2 linked regions of the Rhinolophus ferrumequinum genome follow. The protein of the gene in region 1 purifies or fractionates together with the protein of each later gene. This does not show direct contact. Links are inferred from orthologs where the notes say so. Each region holds a gene or a part of one and is shown in the gene's direction. Other genes may lie near its edges. The genes, in order: PTCH1 and GRK2.

Region 1 (9,515 bases):
CCAATGAGAAATAATAAGGCATTCTTAGAGAGCCAAAAAAATGTGGATGATGGCATACTGGCTTGAATTGAGTCAAGACTCAACTCTTATCCAAGGTACCTGCTTTGAACTGCTCAGGCTCTGGCCCATCCTGTACCCTGGGGTCTCTAGCCACAAATAGAATGTACATCAAATCCCCAATTCCTCTCCCTACCCCACCTTCTCAACAGGAATACTATGGAACTTAATGTAATGTTTGCAATTCTTTGCATTTGTGGAACAAGTATTAAAGTAGGTAGACAAAATCATAACATGGTCCAAGAGTCAAATTACTAGAATACATTTACCCCTTTATTCATTTATACTCTGCAAAAATGAGCTAAATTACATTAGATTTTAAAAAGACCCATTTGTTTGGATTTGAGAAACTAGTGAAAAGTTAAATCTCACTGTGGTTTCTCATTACTCCACCAAGTCCAGCTCCCACAATTGCTTATCGTTGGAATGTCCAAACATGAAGGGCAGATGTTTTATTTCAGTGTCATCATTTGAATAATCGGATGTCATTTTTGAGATGTGTGTGTCATGGCCATGAATATTTTAAGTATTGGAGCAGAGAATGGAGAAGATATGAGTGAATCATATTTTAAGAGTTTAAGGAATCTGTTTTTTAAACGACAGACTCCAATAAAGTCTTAGATCATGATTGGGAGATCAAAATGACATTTGATGCACTGAGATGAACTTTACTTGGAAAGGGGAAATGGAACACTCAACTGTTGCGCCAAAGAGGGCCAGCAGCTCCAGCTGGTTAAAAGGGCCACAAGCTCTCACTTACTTGGTTACTCTCCGGAGGGGAACCATGCTGCAGAAAGGCCATTAAATGGACCGTCTGTCTTCCTTTGCGGGCCTGGCTCCTCCACTTAGCCTCATCTCAGGTCTGGGGAATCCTTGTGGTTAGTTGAAGTTAACAAACCCGGTGTGGCTCAGCGGTCCCCTCCACTGGGCATGCATATTAAAGGCGACAATGCTTACAAATGTAAATAAGGGCAGATTGGTTAGAAACAACATTATCGCTGGGAATGTCGCACTCGCATGCATCAGCAATGAGGCAAATTGGGGGCAGCCTCAGCCCTGACCACCCAAGTCGAGCAGGCTTCTACACTGCCTCTTCCCTTTCTTAAAACGTTACAGAAACTAGGCCAATTAGATCCTCAAAGTAATTCATCTCTGTGTATGAAAAAAGCAGACCACAGGGAAAGCGGCGGGTGGGGGTGGGGAGATTAAGATAGCGCTTGTTAGAGCCCAGGTTGGGGACCGCGTCCTGGAACTGATTGGTAGAATTTTCAGACCGGGACCATTGTCTGAGATGCTGAAAAGTTAACCTATCAAACAGCGGGTGAGGGGGCTCAGGGCGCTGAAAACCCCGGAGATCAATGTTCAAAACGTTTACGAATTAAGTCAAACCGAGGGAAACGAGCCCGAGTGGAATAGGCTTTACCATTGAAATGGTGCACATGTGGCAGCAGCCAGAACGAGAGGATATGTAGCTGCGTGCCGAGAGTAATGGGGAACCAAGATGTGTGTACATAGCCTATAATTTCATTTTAGAATTCCATAATCCAAGTAGTTATACTGAAATTGCTATAAATAAAAGATTGGGAGGAAGAACTTATATTTTGACCTAAAACGTTGTAAAGAAATTTGAAAAGACAAACATAGCAACCTGTCTATGGCTACATGGTTCCCTTGCCATAAAGCATACATCAAATATAAAAAGACTGACATGGAAAACTAGGAGTACCACCCTCAAGTCTTTAAAAAGTAATTTCCAGCGGCAATCACTAAATGGTTTGACTTGAAACGTCTGTAGAACTATTCAGTAAAACAAAACAAACAAAAACAGATAGAACATTAAATCACCTTCCTGATTTCTGCTATTTATCAAACAATAAAGATCAGAATTTTGCTCAAAGATTAAACTTGCTATGTGTCGAGCCCAATTTTCCTGCAATATTATTTATCAATGTACGTAGTACCATTTTCATTGGACGGTGCTCGTCTTCCCTTCTCGATTTTAGCAGTCTTTCCCAGAGCCGCGCACAAAATCACGTGCTCCTTCGGAGTTTTGAATTTCCGCGCTGGCTGGGTACTCCGGTCCTGATCTCCTGTACACCCTTAGACACTTATTCTCTGTCTCTGTTCTATGGGACACCCTACCCCGCCGCGGGGTACTGCACAATGTTTTGCGGGTTAGGGATTCAGGGGGTAGGGTCTCCCAGTGAGACCAGGAAGGAGGAAAAGCCATAGAGGGAAGGTGGCGAGGCTGGGTAGGGAGGAGAGAGATCCGGGAGGAGAAGAAAGGGGTGAAAGGGAGAGGGAAAGAAAGAGGGAGGGGGAACCGAAGAGGAAGGAAGAGGGCGGGCTGGCCGACAGACCCCCCACGGGAGCCGCGTGGGCCGACCGGGTGGCGGGCGGGCGGCGCTGCAGTCTCTCTCCTGCCCGGGCCGCGGCCGCGGGGCCGCTGAATGGAAAGGGATCCGTGCGCTCACCCATTGGTCAGCCAGGGGGAGGCCGCGCGGGCATTGGCCAACGTAAGGGGGCCGGACCGCCTTCAGGAATGTACTACGGCGCGTCCGGCACGTCCGTCCGCGCCGGCGGGGCGCGCGCCTCCCCTGGGCTCCTGGGAGGCAGCGCTGGAGATGTGGAGACCGCCGGGCACGAGCAGAGCGCACCGACTTCCCTACCTCCTTGACCGGGGCCGCGCGGACGCGGGGAGTCCCGGAACTCGGGCGCGCGCGTAATAGGCCTCCGGACCAACGAGCGCGCGCCGGCCCGGCCCTGGGTCACGTGGCCGCGTGGGCTCCACCCTCTAACCCGCTCCTCCCCCTTTCCATCTGGGTTTCTTTCTTTCCTCTCCTTTCTTCTTTTTTTTTTCAATGAACACACACCGTGTGCATCTTAAAGCCACACGGCCCCATTTCACGGCTTCAGTCGGCTTCTTGCTGCCGTGGGTCCCTCTGCAGTTCAACGCCGTTTTTAAAAAAAGAAGTAAAAAACAAATACTAAAATAATGCAGAATCGAGGGTTTGTGGGTCTGGATCCTATCTCAAGGAAGAACTTAACTTGCAAACGTAAGAAAAACAAATTCCACGGTCCAAAAAATTATTTTTAAATAAAAAGTGAAGCTATGTAGACAGTTTAATTTGACTATGGCCTTAGGACCCACCTCAAAGAGTCGCGTGTTTTCTTCCCCTACGGGAAGTGAAGCCCCGGGATGTCTCGGTGACACTGGCCACAGTGTCCAGACAAGTCCTCGCAATCAGCGCACAATTTGTTTCGATGAATCCAACATCAAAGCCTTTATTCTCCCCTACGTCATGCTATTATTAAATATAACAGGATGCGTACCAGTTTTTGAAGAAGTCTAAAAGACGTTTTGTTTTTAAATAAGGACGTGGTTAATTAAAAAAAGGGGGGGTCTAAATCCAAATAAATCCAATAGTCAAGAAAACGTCTCTTTCTCAAGGAAACAATTTCGGTTCTCCGGGTTGTTAAAAGGATTCTGCATTTTCTCTTTTACATATGTCACATTAAAGATTCAAATAAAAACGCCTCTGCCTCCATGAGAATGCTTCGGTGTCTGGATTCCACGTTTATAAAACACTGCCTCCTTCAAACCAGGACTGTGCTGCCGTGGGGTTTGTGGGGGAGCGGGACGGGGGGGGGAGATGGATTTTAAGAGAGGGTTGCTTTTCTCAACGTCCTTACTTTCCTCTTTAACTTTCCATTTTGTTTATCTTAATGCTGGGCGTTGTTCCCTGCGAGAGCCTAAGTCTTCTCTTTAGTTATAAAAGAGGAGGGAAAAAAAAATCTGGCACATACTGGCGCACTATCCACCACCCTGTCATTATTGGTGCAGGCCTGGGAATTCAAGCCGGACCTCCCAGTATTTGCTGCAGCTTGAGGCCAAGGTGCCTCTGAAAGGGTTTTCTTTGAGGAATTTCAGAAATTGTTTAAGCGCTTAAAAAAATATTACATTTTCCCCCGTGCCTATCGCGAGGCAAATGCTCGTGGGTGTTTATGTGTGTGTGAGTGTGTGTGCGCGCTCAAAAAGCGTCTACAAAAAGAAGACACTGATGAAAAGAAAAGGAATAAAAAAGAAAGGGAGGGAGAGAGCATTCCTTAATGGAAGTATTGCATGCGAGAAGGTTGGCGCTCTCGGAGGCTCCCCCCGAAGCCGGGGATGCACTCACTGGGGTTGCCTACCTGGGTGGTCTCTCTACTTTGGTGAGCTGTTGCTAAGCAGCTAATAATAGTCATGTTTGCTGAGTAATTTCTGCCCTCCGTGAGCCAATCGCGTCGCAGAAACCCAAGCCATCTGACAGCCCCAGGGGCGGGAGCTCCAGCCTTTTTCTCTTTCGCTCGCTCTCTCCCCCTCCACCCCCTCCCCTCCTCCTCCTCCTCTTTCTCCAAATGGAGAGAGTTCTTTTTTTTCTTCTTCCATCTCATCTATTGAATCAAGGAGCTGCTGCGGCCGCTGCCCGCTGCACACACACAGAGCGGAGTCCCCAGGTCCCGGGAGCGAGAGAGGCGCGCTGCACGGGGGCAGAATGGTCCAGCGGGTTGGCGAGGAGCACAAGAAAGCAGAGTCCGGGATCGAGCAGCCACCGCGAGCCCAGCAGCCAGAGCCCGAGCAGCCCAAGCAGCAACTTCAGGAGCCGCCACCGCCAGCAGCAGCCGCCGCGGGAGCAGCGGCGGCTGCCCCGGCCCGGCAGCGCTGAGACCCACCGGGCACCCACGGACCCTGCGGCAGCGGCTCTGCGCTTGTCCTCCGCGACTGCTCGGGCGACCCGGGAGGCGCCGAGAGAGCCAGCGAGGCCGGCGGGAGCGGCGGGGATTTGCTGGCGTTTTCTGCAGTGAAGGGGTCGCGGAGCGGGGCGGGGGGCGGGTAGGGGGAGTCGGGGACCTCGAGGAGCGCCGAGCAAGCGCCCGAAGGACAGGCTGGCTCTGCGCGCCGGTTCTCGCGCTCCCGAGAACTGGATGTGGGCAGCGGCGGCCGCAGAGACCTCGGGACCCCCGCGCAATGTGGCAATGGAAGGCGCAGGGTCTGACTCCCCGGCAGCGGCCGCGGCCGCAGCGGCAGCAGCGCCCGCCGTGTGAGCAGCAGCAGCAGCGGCAGCAGCAGCAGCAGGTCTGTCAACCGGAGCCCCAGCCCGAACTGCCGGCGGCCAGCAGCGTCCTCGCGAGCCCAGCGCCGGGGCGCGCAGGGAGCCCGCAGCGGCGGCAACAGCGCGCCGGGCCGCCCGGGAAACCTCGGTTCCCGCGGCGGCGGCGGCGGCAACATGGCCTCGGCTGGTAACGCCGCGGAACCCCAGGACGGCGGCGGCGGCGGCAGCTGCAGCGGGGCCCCGGGCCGGCTGGCCGGCGGCGGGAGGCGCAGACGGACCGGGGGACTGCGCCGCCACGCCGCGCCGGACCGGGACTATCTGCACCGGCCCAGCTACTGCGACGCCGCCTTCGCTCTGGAGCAGATTTCCAAGGTGCATTTCAGACTCTCTCCTCTCCTCCCACTCTCTCCTCCCTCCTCTTCCTCTTTGGGGTAGCCCCGCCACACACACACACACACACACACACACACACTCACACACCTCTTCAGGAAAAGCAGCAGACAAGCGGGGATTGAAAAATTCAAACCCACCCTCAGGTCCTGGAAGGAAAGGGCTGTCTGAGGTCCGCAGGGGGTGGAGGGGTGTGTGTGTGTGTGTGTGTGTGTGTGTGTGTGCGTGTGCGCGCGCGCGCGCGCGCCCTCCCCAGCGTGCCTTTTCCGGAGCACTGGAAAGCGGTCCACAGTGGACCACCTCGAGGGCGGCCGCAGCGCGGCACTGCCCGGCGCCCCCTGCCTCGGTGCCCCCTCCTCCCCGGCCCCTGCCCCTATTTGCAGCCCAAACCCCTGTAATGCTGCCACATTTCTTAACATCTTGGAGGGGGAGGCGGAGTACTGAGAGGCGGAGAGAAGAAGGGGGGAGGGAGCCGAAATAAAGGTGGTTTCCTTTTTTGGCAGCCGGTTTTGCTTTTGTTGAGCATGAAATCTCTGCTCCCTTAAAAACTATCCTCGGAAGAGGGCATCTCCCCTCTTCTTTTCCAGTTTTTGAGCCAGTTCTTTTCAGAGCCTAGGGGTAAAGGGAAAGTTGTAAACAAATTGCCACCTTAAATCCTTGGTCCGGGTCTGCGGAGCGGCCGGGTTCATTGTGTTTACGAGGCTCGCTGAAATGTGTGGAATCCGGAGAAGGCGAGCACCCAGACGGGGGCCCGCCGGGGCCGCGGCCAGCGCCGGGGAAACGCCGCCGCCGGGAGCAGCCAGCGCCCAGCCAGGACCCCCGCCTGCGCCGGCCTGGGCCCTTCCCCTGTGCACTCCGCTGCTTTTTACATTTAAACCGAAGGGAAGGGAGAGGAGGGAAAGATCCATGTGGCTGCCCTCTTCCGATCACAAATATTGTCGTAAGTTGCAGATGGCTGCCCCACTTCCTAATTCAGCTCACACAGCGTCTCCCAACGCTATGGAAATGGATCCCGAGTTAGCTCCGGTGGCCGCGCTCACCACGTGGATCCCCTTACTTCCACGCCGGGAGGGATCAGGATGGGAGATCCTGCACTACATTGTTCCCAAAGCGCGCTCGCCCCTCAGCCCGCGTCCCCGCCAGGGTACCCGGAGAGGGGTGAAGGGTGGGGCAGGATTTGCAGGGAAGGGAGCGGAGCTTTGCTGGTTCAGAGAAGTTGTGCTCCATCACAGGACTACGCAGCCCCTCCCCTATCAAGTCCCGCGTGGCTATTGCCTGTGTTGAATGATTTCTGTGTTCTGTGCCTCATCTTACCCTTCACGTGTTCTTGCAGCCCCTCCCCCCAGCTCCCCAAGTTGCATTCAGGGATGCTGCGCAGGCCACGCGTGGGGGCGCCCCTGCTGTCGCCAAGGTGCAACTCCCACGCTGCAGCCCGTTTTTTATTTAAGCAGCCCCCCCTCCCCCAAGCCGCTCGCGTTCTCTCGTGCCGGCCAGGGTTCCAACCTCCTGGGCACTATCCACAGCTGTCGCAGGATCCGCGGGCGGGTGCGCGCAAGCGAGCGTGGGCGCGCGGGCTGTGACTCCCCGACGCTTACCACTCCTTTCTGCTTCATCCTCAGGGGAAAGCTACTGGCCGGAAAGCGCCGCTGTGGCTGAGAGCGAAGTTTCAGAGACTCTTATTTAAACTGGGTTGTTACATTCAAAAAAACTGCGGCAAATTCTTGGTTGTAGGCCTCCTCATATTTGGGGCCTTCGCTGTGGGATTAAAGGCAGCTAATCTGGAGACCAACGTGGAGGAACTGTGGGTGGAAGGTAAGAGACCCAGCGCCCGGTGCGGCGCTCTCCCGTCCCCCACCCCGGGCTTCTAGTACCCTTTCTTCCAATTGATAAAGATATTTGCCAGCGTACACCTAGAGCCTTTCGGTGCGAGCGAAAACCCCTGCCTGCACCAGGGGGAATTGTTTATTGTTTGGGCGCCTGGACCGGAGCCAGGCCCGTCCGACAAAGGCCGCGCTGTAATCTACTCGGGGCGCTGCGCTGTGCTAGGTGTTGTGGGAGAGAGCGGCGGGGGCGGGCCGGCGGGGGCGCGGGGCCCCTCCGCGGAATGGACCACTGCATGGCCGGGGGCCTCGGGGCCTGCAGCCGCCGCCGCCGCCGTCGCCGCCCGCCTCCGCCGCGCCCAGAGACGCGGCCACAGGCAGGCCACTCGGCTCCTGGCTCTGGTCCTCGGCTTCCGTCCCCCCACCCCCACCCACCGCGTCCAAAGAGAAAGAAGGGGGAAGGCAGGGAAAGGCCACCCCTCCGGCTGGAGGGAGTGTGCGCGCCCCCGGCGGCCGCGGCCGCCGCGCTGGGGAGGGCGGGGGGAGGGAGCAGCGCGGGCCTGCGGAGGCGGCGGCGTGTGTGGTCCTGGTTTTGGACAGCTTTCAACTCGCGGGAAAAAAACATTTGTCTCAAGGTACAAAAAAAAGGGTGGGGGGATGGGGGAAGGAGTTAAAAAAAAAAACAGTAAAGCACTGACTGGAACGCATGTTTGCAAAGTAGATTAATGTTTCCTCGCGGGTGGGGGCTTTATAAATGGAATTATTCTGGGGAAAGGCTGCGTTTTGCAGGCTGAATGAAGAAATGTGTTTTAAGAACACGGGTTTGGAGAGAGGGGCCACAGGAGCTCTCCAAGGGGTTCTGTCAGTCTTTTATCTGCATTCCTCAGTTTGGGGGGGGTTCTTGAAGTTTTTTTTTTTTAAGCAGTTGTAAATTTAAAGTAGATCCCCTCCCCCCACAAACATTTTACATTCTTTTGGTGATACGGGTTTTTTGTTTGTTTTTGTTTGGGTTTTGTTTTCTGTTGGTTGTCTTTTAATTCTTTTGGGAAAGTGACAGTCTTGCGATTTGGAAGCATTTTAACCTCTAAACACTGCCTTGGGTCTCTCTTAAAATGGGATGGGAGGAAGGGACTTGAGGTAATTATGCAGATATTTCAAACCAGAAATGTGGAGTATTCCTAATGAAAGCTACCTAAGACAAAATGTGGAAGCCTAAGTTACATGCATAATTGATTCCTTTCAGAATGCTGTTGGAGAACTGACCTTGGAGAATATTTTTTGTTGATTTTGCTTTGTGAAGATTCAGCTTTCAGTGTTTTGCAAGCATATGGTAGAGTCTTTAGTTGAGAAATGACAATTAAAATAATAGTGCAAATAATTAAAACCAGAAAACATTCTTGCCTTAAGTAGCTTGGTAATTAATACAAAAGTGTTATTTGGATAGAATCCATGGAGGTTAATTTACCTCAATTCAGCACTTCAATGTTGTTGGTAGATAAAAGAAGGGTTTTAGTCACCATCTATGGTGTCTTAGCAGGAAATTTACTGGGCACCTGTACCATCCCTAGCAATGTGCCAGGCACTGTAAGGGACCCCAGAGCGTGGGAGGCATTCCCTGAGCACAAATTCATGGACTTAAAACTACTCGAGTTAGATGGACTTGCACTAAATTTGAGCTCACAGAAAGTGGGCTGAGAAAGTTAAATGGAAAACTGTGAAAAAAGAAAAGCTTCCTTGGAGGTGGTAAGGCAAACTAGGGTGACCTGGAGAGAGAGGGAGAGGGAGAGGGAGAGGGAGAGGGAGAGGAGGGAGAGGAGGGAGAGGAGGGAGAGGGAGAGGGAGAGGGAGAGGGAGAGGGAGAGAGGAGGGAGTGGAAGTTCTAGGAAGAAGCTCAAAAAAGGAGGTCAGGCAAAGGTCCAAGCTGAAGGCCCAAGCTGAGCAGACAGATGGCAGTGGGACTCCCTCCTCCCCCAGTAGTAATGGGGTGCAGTAGCTCAGGTGGGCCCTGGACAGCAGGGCTGTAGTTTGGAAATGATGTGATTGGCTAGGCTGTGGGGAGCTACCATCCGTTCTAGGACAGAGCAAGGGATGAAATGAGCAGAGGGAACCCCTAGGTCTGTTCACATATTCGCTTTACACTATGTGGTCCAACAAA
Region 2 (10,666 bases), on another chromosome or scaffold:
GCAGACACCTGAGGTCCAGGAGCACCTGGTTTTGTTCTTGGCCTGGCACTGTCACCCAGCTTCTGCCTCTGCCACCCAACACATTCGGGAGAGCTACAATCGGCGGGAAGGTCCAGCTGCTAGCCCCCAGAATGTGCCATGAGAGTGCTAGAGAGGCAAGACAGAGAGACAGAAGCAGACACAGACACATGGAGAGAAAACATCCTGAAAAACCCAGAAAAGGAAAGAGAAACAGAAGTAGAGAAAGGAGGAGGGGAGAAGAGAAATGAAATGAGAGAAAAGGACCATGGAGGACTCCTAGAGGGAGACACAAGTGAGACCGAAGATACTCCACGTGTGACAGTGGCCACTCAGAAAGCCTAACAGTGCACATATCTCCGTTAGCCCTCAAAACAATCCAGTGAGGCCAGGCTGGCGACTCCCCGTGCACAGATGAAAAGGGCAAAGCTCAGATAAGTAACTTGCCTAGGACACCCAGCTAGGGCAATACGAGGTGGCACTAGCATTTGACCCCAGTCTTGGCCACACACGTCCTCCAGTCCCCAGACACAGCAAGTACCAGTGGCCACTGTATGGGGCCGGTGGGGGCTACGAGACCATGCCTCGGACACTCACAGGCGGCTGGGAGTGTCAAGACACAAACGCGAGCCGCGTGAACACAGAACGTTCCGGCTCCAGGCTAAGACGAGGGTGCCATGCGCGCTGGGGACGGCTCCCGAGGGTAACGCGTTGCAGAGGCCGAGATCGGCTGAGGCCGAGAGGGGCGGGGCCTGAGGCCGGAGCCAGAGGCGGGGCGGGGCCGGGGGCAAGGGGCGGGGCCGGAGCCAGGGGCGGGGCGGAGCGGGGCGGGGCAGGGTTGGGGACCTGGCCGTAGACCGGGAGGGGCGGGCCACAGGCTGGTGCCACGTCCGGACTAAGGCTCCGAAGAGGAAAAGGATACTGGGGCCCGGGGCAGTGCGGAGACTGTGTGACCTTCTGAAGGGTTCCAGGAAGAGGCGCCGCTCCCGGGAAGCGAGTTGGGCGGAGCCAGAGGTCTGGAAGTCCCGGCCAGAGTTGCGTGCAGCTCATGTCTGCTTGTCGAGGGGCCCCTGAAGGTTCTTGGACTGTGAGGGAGGGAGTCCTGGAGCTGAGGAAGCCTCCTGGATAACCAGGGCCTCCGCACTTGCTGTGCCACATGCCTGGAAAGCTCTTCCTGCCCCTAACAAAGCTGCTTCCTCCCATCCTTCTGGCTCCAGCAAAAAAGCCCTTCCTCAAAGGGCTTCACACGAGGGGGCTCCTTAGCTTTTATAGTACCTTGTCACCTGCCCCATAAGGATGCTTTGAGCATTAAATGTGATCAGTCTGGGCTCTAGAAACAGTGCTCTGCTGTGGGGACAGAGCCCCAAAAAGCAGTTTCCAGGTTCTCGGCCTCACATAGAAAGGTGCTGGCTCAGGTAGTAAATGGCCATCGACTGTGATCAAATGGCCATCAGCTGTGGCTAGTTGGCCGTCAGCTGTAACCAGTGAGCCATTGGGCAATAATATAACTGCCGTGGCTAGGCTAGCAAAAAAAGGGGGGAGCTAGCAAGAAGATGGTGGCTGAGTCTGCAAGCGGCACAGTGAAGGTTGAGAATTGTGTTGTTCCTGGTTCCTGTGTCTCCAACCCAGCCACCAGTGAGAGTATAGTGGTATGACTCTCCTACCTATGGCTCCGTGGGTGTTCCTTTTTGGCCTCACCATGTCCTGCATTCTTATGTGGGGAGTGGGAGCTGAGATCCTGCAGGCCGCCCTGCGTGACATCTGCCCACAGTGAGAACCCAATAAATGTCAGTGGTTGTTACGGTGTGCAGTTTGCCCATAAGTTCACTGTGTCTCCCTATGTTGGATCCTCAAGGCCAAGCACCGGAACCTGGCATGTAGTAGAAGCTCAACAAACAGTGTCAGATGAGTGAGTGAGTGAATGAAGTGAAATCCCAGCATCCATACATCCCTGGTGAGGTCAGGGAAGCAGCCAAACTCATCCTCCTGAATCTTCAAAGCACAGGATGGAGATGAAGAGGGGAGGCCCCGGCAGGACGAAACTTGAATGTGCCAGTCCTCACCCCCAACCTCATTCACATTCATGTGCACACACGTCAAGTTCAAGACCTTCCTTATCTCTCCCCTGCCCTCCCCAACTTTTCCACTGACCCTCCTGGACACCCCACCTCCTTGCATTATAGTTCTTGCCAGGTTAATTGGAGGTATGCATTTAGGGGTTTTCTTCCCCACTGGACCAGGCCACCACTGAATCCTGTTTCTTTGTGCGGCCCTAACTTTGTGCTGGGAGCCATGAGGGGTGCGTAAGGAAGGCAGCAGTGACCACGACCAACAGGGGCGCTAAGGGAGAGTACTCTGAGCAGGAAGCTTTCAGCCCAGGAGATGCAGGGTGAACAGGAGCCTGGCGTTGCCAGGAAGGCAGGGAAGGGTATTCCAGGCAAGGGAAATTATAAAGACCCCTGAGGTAGAAGTGACTGTGGCTTGTTATAGTGACAAAAGGAAGACCAGAGAGACGAGACTAAGGGGCAAGGGGAAGGGGATAGAACTGAATGAGAGAGATGGGCAGGCGGCCAGACGGTGCAGATCTTATAGGCCCTGGGAAAGGGGTGGGTTTTATCCTTAGTGCAGGGACAGTCATTGGAGGTGAGCTTTGATTTAGGCCTGTAAAAACTCTGGCTAGATGAGAGGCAGGATGTTCCGTGAGGAGCCTGGTGTGGACGGCAGCACCAGGTGGGAGGTGATGGGACAAGATCGGGTTCAGCAGGGCACAGTGGAAGGACTGGAAGAAGCCGGGGTATTCTTCAGGGACAGGCTGGATGACAGTGTGCGTGTACATGGTGGCAGGGGCCAGGCGAGGGAAGAGAGGAATCAAGGATGACTCCTAGATTTCTGGAAGATGGAGTAGCCATGACTGAGATGGGGAGGCTTCAGAGGAGCAGGCTGCACCGGGGCTGCGTGTGGAAGCAAGAGCTCAGTGTGGGATGTTTTAAGTTTGCCACACCTATTAGTCATCCAGGGGAGATGCCAGGTAATGGTGTGTCTGCAGATCTGCCAGCTGGGCAGAGATGGGGTTCCCCTCCTCTTTTACTGCCAGCATCCCATCCAGAGGTTGGCACAGTCTGGGCAGGAGACAAAAGTTTGTTGAGAGAATGACTGAAGAAAGTTTACCATCCACCTTCCCTCAACCACCAGAGGGCAGCACCACCCCAAAAAATAGCCTTCCCCGGACCAGAAACTCGCCCAGACCAGGGACCCAACACCACCCTCTTCCCAGTCAGGGCTTCTAGGAGCCGCTTTCCACTGCCCAAGAATCAACGAAGGGCAGCCTGGAGACTGGCTCTCTCGAAGGACCCTAGCTTCAGGCCTTCTGGGGCTTCAGATTGGGCTGTGGGTGGGAGGGGCAGTCTGGGTTTTCAGGTGGTGGGGGGAGGGGAGGACCATTTCCTGAAGCAGGATGGCTGGCATTTGAGAACCACCAGGGACTCTGGTCTGACAAGTTCATCAGGAAGAATTTTTTAAATCAAGGCTGCTCCAGACAACCCAGGCCAGCGTGTGGCTGTAGTCAGAGTCCCAAAGAGCTGGGGAGGGGTGGGAAGAGAGGAGGTTAGTCCTTCTGCTGTGGCATCCTGTGTGCCTCTGACCCTATTCTTCCCCAAACTCCATGTGCCACCTTCGGCTGAGGAGCTCATTCACTCATCAAACATTGACTAGGCCGTTCTGCGTCTGGTCCTGTGGTGGGCTCTGGGGGCAAGGGATAAACTGGAGCGTCAGTTACAGGTGGAGATGGTATGTACCTTTTTTTTCTCTCCATAATTAGCACTTCCAACATCAGGAGGCATTTTCCAATTGATGCAAACGTTGAATAAAGCTTCACCCCATCCCACTGTCAAAAACATGACATGATGCATCTTACAATTGATGATGTTCAAAATCAAGGAGCTAGGTGGTAAGTGCAGAATCACAGATGTACACAGTGGGAGGGGGGTTGGGGAAGGTTACCGGCAGGAAGTGGGTCTTAAGGGATGAGCAGGATCTCACCAGGGATGAGGACACACAAAGGGCTTCCAGGCACAGGGAAGAGCAAAGTCACAGAGGTGAGAATGGATGGGTGGCCTGGCAGAGGGACCCCAGGTGCAGAGGGTGGTGGCAACACAAGCTGGGGAGAGAAGGCGGGCACAGTCATCCAAGACCTTGACTTACAGGTTAAGGAACTTGTTCACTTGATCTGTTTTGGGCAGAGTAGGTGCGGCCTGGAGCTCCCTCTGGCCTGGAGCTCTGCTTGTCCCTGCTAAGCAGGTGGTAACTCCATCAGATCTTAATTTGAGAGAGGCATCTCTAGTCAGGGGCCACATCGGCAGCAGCCATAGGGATCCTGAGAAGCAGCCGGGTTCAAGAAGATTCCCAGACAGAAGGGTGTGGCGCCAGTAGATTAGGGCAGGGGAACAGGGAGGAGTCAAGTCTGATGCCTGGAGCCCTAGAATCTCAGCCCACTGAGAAGGGACCTTGCCAGCTCTGATGTGCTCTGGTTTCAAGCTCTGCAGAGGCTGTTCTCAGAAGGTAGCCTGAGAAGTGCACAGGGAAGGGCTTCCTGCTTTGTAAAAGGGTCCTCGTTCCTGACTCACAAATTGGCAAGAGGCTTGCCCTCCTTTTGCCCAAGATTGAAAGGGAACTTTGTCACCTTGGAAAGCAGAAGCTCTAGAGAAGGGCATGTTGAGATAGGGGGTACTGCTTTGAAACACATGGATTTCCCCTATACACCCCCATGGGCTCTCACCAGAGTGATTTTCCCTTGCTAGGCAGCACTGCGACAGACCCCTGTGCCCTACCAGGATGAGAGCGATTGGATCTCACGTTGTGGAATTATGATGATTCCATCATGATTCTATAGTTGGGTTGTTGGGATGCAAGCCAGGGGCCTGGGACTACAGCTGGTCTAGGTAGGGCAGGGGTTGTTGGTACAGGGTCCTTGGTCCTGAGTGGGAGTCCTGGGGCCAGGACTGGGTCTTGAGCAGGATTGGGGGTGGGGTAAGCCTGGAGTCTAACTACAGTTGTCGGGTCCCAGGTTTATGGCAACCTGTTAAGGGTTCTAGGTCCAGTCTGGGTCATAATTGGATATCCTGTTTCTGGGCCTATTTCCACACTTCCTGGTGTTGGGTCTAGGACCCTGGTCTAGCGTTGACAGTCCAAGACCAGATCTGGGCCCTGCCCCCATGTTCAGGGTTCAGGGTCATGATAGTGGTCTGGGTTTGGGGTTAGAATCAAGGTCTGGGATCAGTAACCAGGATGGGATTGACGTTATGATCAGTGTTTGAGGTCATAGTCCAAAGTCTGGATGTGGGGGTCCTGTTGGGGGTCTGGGGTCAGGTTCAAGGTCTGGGTGGAGTCGGGGACTCTTGGTTGTGATCCAAGGTCATGGTCAGATAAGAGGTGTCCAAGGTTTGGGCTGGGGTCCTGTTTGGAGTATGGGGTCATGAATGGTATTCAGGTGTGGTGTCAGGTCCTCGACTGCGTCCAAGATCAGGGAGTCAGGGGTTGTAGTCAGGGCCTGAGACCCAAGTCCCTGGGATCGTGCGCTGAAGTGCCAGCCAGGGGTCAGGACGTGGTCTATGGCGGAGTCTGGCATCCGAGTTGTGATCCGGGTTAGGGTCAAGGTGGTGACCCCGGCCCGGGGTCGGGGTCCGGGATGGGTCTGAGATGGGGTCTGGGTGGCCTCTGGGGTCAGGCCAAGTCCAGCCCGCGCGGCCTCCAGGGGGCGCCGCCGCCCGCCCGCCCGGCCCCTCGCGGGCTCGCTGGCGCTGTGCGCGGCAGGCGGGGCCGGAGGCGGCGGCGGCTCCGGGGCGCGGGCGGCGGCGGCCCGACTGCAGTCCCGGCGGGAGCGGAGCGAGCCGCGGCCGGGCCCGAGCCGGCGCCATGGGGCGGCGCCGCCTGTGAGCCGCGGCGAGCGGAGCCGCGGGCGCCGAGCGGGGCCGGCGGGCGGCGGCGCCCGAGGCCGACGGAGCGGCCGGGCCGGGCCAAGCGCGCCAGTCGAGCGGAGCGGAGCGGAGCGGAGCCGAGCTGAGCGGCGGGAGAGGCCGCCGCCGCCGCCAAGATGGCGGACCTGGAGGCGGTGCTGGCCGACGTGAGCTACCTGATGGCCATGGAGAAGAGCAAGGCCACGCCGGCCGCGCGCGCCAGCAAGAAGATCCTGCTGCCCGAGCCCAGGTGAGGCGGCCGCCGGCCCCTTGGCCCCGCTCCCTGTCGGGTGTGGCGAGCGCCCAGCCCCGACCCCGCAGCCGCAGACCGCCGGGGCACTGCCCCGTGACCCCTTCTGCCCCAGCCACCGCTCCAGGTCCAGCGGCGCTGACCCGATCCCTGCTCGCCAGGCCCTGTGCTCCTGAACCCGGAGTGTCCCGGCGCCAAGGCTTTCCAGCCCCACTGGCTCCCCACCCGACTCTGCCCCCTGCCCCACTCGGCCTCCCTTTCCCTTCGTGCACTCTGCGGGGCCCTCATCTCTGCCTTTTCCCACAGGGGCCCCACTCCCCTTCGTCCGGCTACCCTTGGTCTCCTCCACCCTCCCCATGGGGTCCCCTCCTCTGCCTCCTAGCATCTACCTGGCCTGACTATATCGCTCATCCTTTTGCTGCCCTTACTCCCAGCCCACCCCCCCCCCACCCCCGCCCCCCGGGTCTTCTGGTCAGCACTGTGTGAGGTTTGGGGGAGACAATAAGTCTTCCCTACGCTCTGGTGGGTCACTGGCTTGGGGTGGCGTTTGAGAGTGCTTTGGTGGTCGGGATCACCTGGGATCACACAGGGTGTGGTGTGTGCCCCTCCCAGTGGGGGAGACACCCACTGTCCCTCTCCCCTTGTATTCCTCCTCTGGCCGGCCCAGGTATGGTGCCCTATGGGTGCTGTTTGCTGGGGGACAGCCTAGCACCACTGCAGCAGCTGGACCACGGCTGCCACCTCTCTGTGAGACAACTGATGTCATTGCACCTGGTGTCAAAGTTTAAACAGTGCAGGATGTAAGTGCAGAAGTATACAGGTACAGATGAGAACTGAGGCTTGTCCAGCATTTTATGGTTTCTAGAGTATTTTCCCATCGTTTGAGCCTCGAGGCCACCCATGGGCAGATAGGACAGGTGTGGTTTTGTCCCTAGGGAACAGGTGGGAAGCTGAAGTCCCAGAGGTGAGTGGCCTGCCCAGTGTCACAGGTAATCCAGGGTGGTGCCCAGCCACCAGATCAGGGCTTCCGGCTTCTAGGTCCACATCGCGTCCACCACTCTGGCCTGAGCCGGGGCCTGGCCGTTCCGTATCTATAAGAGCCGTGTGCCCACTACAATTCTTTGGGTCACATGGTGAGGCCTGTCCCAGCAACTCTTCCATACCTGCCTGAGAGTTGGCATCCTGGTTCCCGGCCAGCCCTGGAGGCTGGGCCTGTCCTAGCTGTTATGGTCTTATCATGTGACTTTGGGCAAGTCCCTTCCCATTTCTGGGCCTCGGTATTCTCATCTGTGAAATGTGGAAGGTATGAAATGAGGTCGTGACTATGTGGTGTCCTGAGTCTTTGAAGCGAGTCCCAAAGCTGCGAGGGGTGCCATGCCGTTGTCTCCGGTGCCCTCCTCGGGGCCTGTTCACTGGGTTTCGGATTGACTGAACACTAGGCCTTGGAGAGGAAAATTGGTCTGCATTTTGAAAAGGCCGTTAGGGCCCCTTTTTTTCTAAGACATTTGCAATCAGATTTCTCAAAACAGGAACCAGACTGACTCTCGGCTGGGGGCTGTCCAGGGAGCAGTGACAGTTAGAACAAAAACGAGTTCAGAAATGACAAAGCCACGAGGGAGGAAACGGGGGAGTCAGCCTCTGGGGCTGGTAACGGCTTTCCTTGGTGGCCAAACCCTTGAGACTCTCCTGTAGGTTGGAGTTCTGCAAAAGGGTGAGGTGGGGCCTTTTCTGGAACTCTCTGCATTTGGGTAATCTCTCCCCAGAATGCATTGCTCCTGATGGGGCCCCGCCTTGGGCCGGCTCTGCAGGTGTTAGCACCCCGAGAAACGAGCTGTTCCTCTTTTCCTGTCCCCTTTACTATCTGTGGTAATGATGGTGATGATGGGAATGATGGTGGAAATTGTGATAATTTATTATCTATTTTGACACCTGTCATCTCAGTTGATCCAAAAACCAACAAGGCCATGCCTTGCGTGTAGAGTTGCTCAAGCCCTGTCAGCACTGTGTGATGTCTGAAACCAGGTAGGCTGTTAGTTTAGGGGAACACCTGGGCTGAGAGCCAGGTGTTACAGGTTCTCGTGTAGGGTCACCATCTGGCAATGACTCACATCTGTGAGATGGACTGGAGCCTCTAAGCAGTGATCGATGTTGGTGAGCTAAGGCCGGGGAAGGGCCAGGGCTGCCCCTAGGAGTCCAGGCCTCTTGCATCAGAGGACATGCTAGCCTTTGCTTTATGCTTCACACAGCCAGGGTCAGATGCCTCCTACCCTGGGAGGCACTCCCCAGTTTGCAAAGTGTTTTTACTCCATTTATCCTTTTCACAGCGCTGGCACAGCCGGTGGTATTCTCCCATTTAATAGTTCGAGTAACTGAGGCTCAGAGAGGGAGACTTGGTCACGGGGGGAACTGGAATCTTAACCCGGGTCCCTGGACTCCCTGCCAGGCTTCATATCCTCTGCACATCCCTCCACACCTCTGCTCTCATCTGTCCATGTTTTGTGGAATGTACCAGCTGGCACCCCTTGTCCGGGGAGCCATGGATCTGGGGAGGTAGCCTGGCAGCAGGGCAGCCCCCAGCACCGTCAGCTGTCCTAGTTCATAAGGCCCAGCCCCCTCCTCGTTGGCTGGGACAGAACTGGGCTGCCCCGGCAACGCTGGTGCCTAGAGGAGGCAGCTCCACACCTGGGGGTCACGTCATCCCCTCACCCATAAGGTCAGGGTCAAGGAGAAAGGCTTTGGTTTGTCCATGACAAGGTGCCATTTGGAGTTGCTTCCACCTTGGGGTGGTCCATCTTGGCAGCCTCCCTTCGGCTGGTGCCCGGGTTGTGGCTTGGCCGAGTCCTGGGGCTGGCTTCACAGCTCTGACTCCTCAGGGTTGGGGTAGGGAGCTGTTGGGCACAGGGCCATGTTGAGTTGGCACAGGGGCCTCCCCTTCTGTCACCCTATAGAATCTGAGGAAACAGACCCATTTCTCCACCTTCTCATGGAAGGAAGCAGAGCTGTGTAGCTGAAAGACAGGAGACTCGGCTTCTAATCCTGCCCCGATACCAGCTCCCATGGGACCCAGGCACGTCCCTTATCCTGGCTGAGACGGCCTCAGTGTTCACATCGGTAAACCGAGGGCTGCCGCTTCACCAGTGACCTCTCAGGGTCTGTGGTCTGAGCCTCTCCCCAAAGGAGCCACTGTTTCCCTTTCCAGCAGCAGCAGCAGCCCTGTAACCATCGCCATTTGCTTAATATGACCATGGAGGCCTCGTGTAATTAATCTCTGGGCTCCTGGCTGAGGAGCCGGCTTGGGCGGTCCCAGGAGGTGCCCCTGCTGTCCCCGGTGACAGTGGCAGCCCCAGCAGCAGATTGTTGGAGCCGGGTGCCTCTTGCAGCCTCCCATTTTCTCGGTTCTTTCCTGGTCCCTCCCCCACCATGGATTTCCTTCTTCCTGCCCTCTGCTGGCTTCCCAGTCTCCCAGACCGGCCACTCTTCCTCTGCTGCTGCTTCGTTCCTGTTAACTCTTTGCCTCCAGAACTTCCTGCCCTTATTTGTGGGGGGAAGGGGTGCAGGGGAACACTTCGTCCCTTCCTCCTCCCTCCACTTCTTCATCACTAGCCTTTATCCCTTCGCCAGAACTTTCCACTCCAGTATCATCGTCCTCCCCACTCCTGCCCCTGAAGACAAGATGACCCTGCCAGCAGTCCTTCCCTCTGGGCCTTTGAAGCCCCTGCATTCCCCAGGAATGGGTCTCTGGGACACCTTTTCCCATCTGTTCTCTTTTCCTGAGCACTAGGTTTCATGTTTTTGTCATGAAAGTTGCTCACCTGCCTGTTTACTGTGGGGTTTGAGCGGACAAGCATGAGCAGGGGAATCTGGGCTCTGTCAACCCAAATCCAGGAATAATGTGTCCTATTAATGGACGATCAATTCCTAGTAGTAAATCCCTGTGATGTCAGCTGTAGGCGCACTCCTGCAGCCTGCGTTTCCTCCCCCACCCCGGGCAGGCGCCCAGGTCAGCTTTGCAGAGGTGCTGAGCTCTTGGGGCCCAGGGAGTTCAGGCTGCGTGTATATGGCTGGGGCTTCCGGGATACGATGCTCCTGCCTGGGGACAAACAGAAGCCATGAGCGTGAGAGTCTTTGGGGAATGCACAGCCTCCATCACACCTGCCCTGTCTTCCTGTGGTCCCAAGGGGCCCTGTGTCCTCCGCTGGTCACATAACAAAGACGATAGTACATTCAAGTTACCGCTAAGCTGTTTCAAACTTAGAGAAACTGAAAATGAGGGGTTGGGTGGCAGCTTTTTTCTCACACAATAACAAGCCCTCTATGCATCACTGCTTACCACGAAGGCTAGCGTCTACACAGGCAGAAGAGCAGGGTTTCACGGTGGGTTTCCTGGTGTAAACGCGGTAGCAGCTCTGTTCTCTGAGGGGGAAGTTCTCTGACTCTGGGAACCATC

Evidence for each region.
Region 2: the proteins of PTCH1 (region 1) and GRK2 purify together in Homo sapiens (affinity purification with western blotting; 3 studies listed by BioGRID and IntAct, with this or other methods). This does not show direct contact. The link is inferred for Rhinolophus ferrumequinum from reciprocal best matches to the Homo sapiens genes PTCH1 and GRK2.

The regions. Positions count from the first base shown.
Region 1 is NC_046295.1:7,892,242-7,901,756, reverse strand, and holds the start of PTCH1 (protein patched homolog 1), read left to right. Parts: upstream 1-5,324; coding exon 5,325-5,522; intron 5,523-6,273; exon of another isoform or gene 6,274-6,480; intron 6,481-7,159; coding exon 7,160-7,352; intron 7,353-7,974; exon of another isoform or gene 7,975-7,995; intron 7,996-9,515.
Region 2 is NC_046294.1:4,932,692-4,943,357, reverse strand, and holds the start of GRK2 (beta-adrenergic receptor kinase 1), read left to right. Parts: upstream 1-5,867; 5' UTR 5,868-6,106; coding exon 6,107-6,219; intron 6,220-10,666. UniProt on the Homo sapiens protein: Specifically phosphorylates the agonist-occupied form of the beta-adrenergic and closely related receptors, probably inducing a desensitization of them. Key regulator of LPAR1 signaling.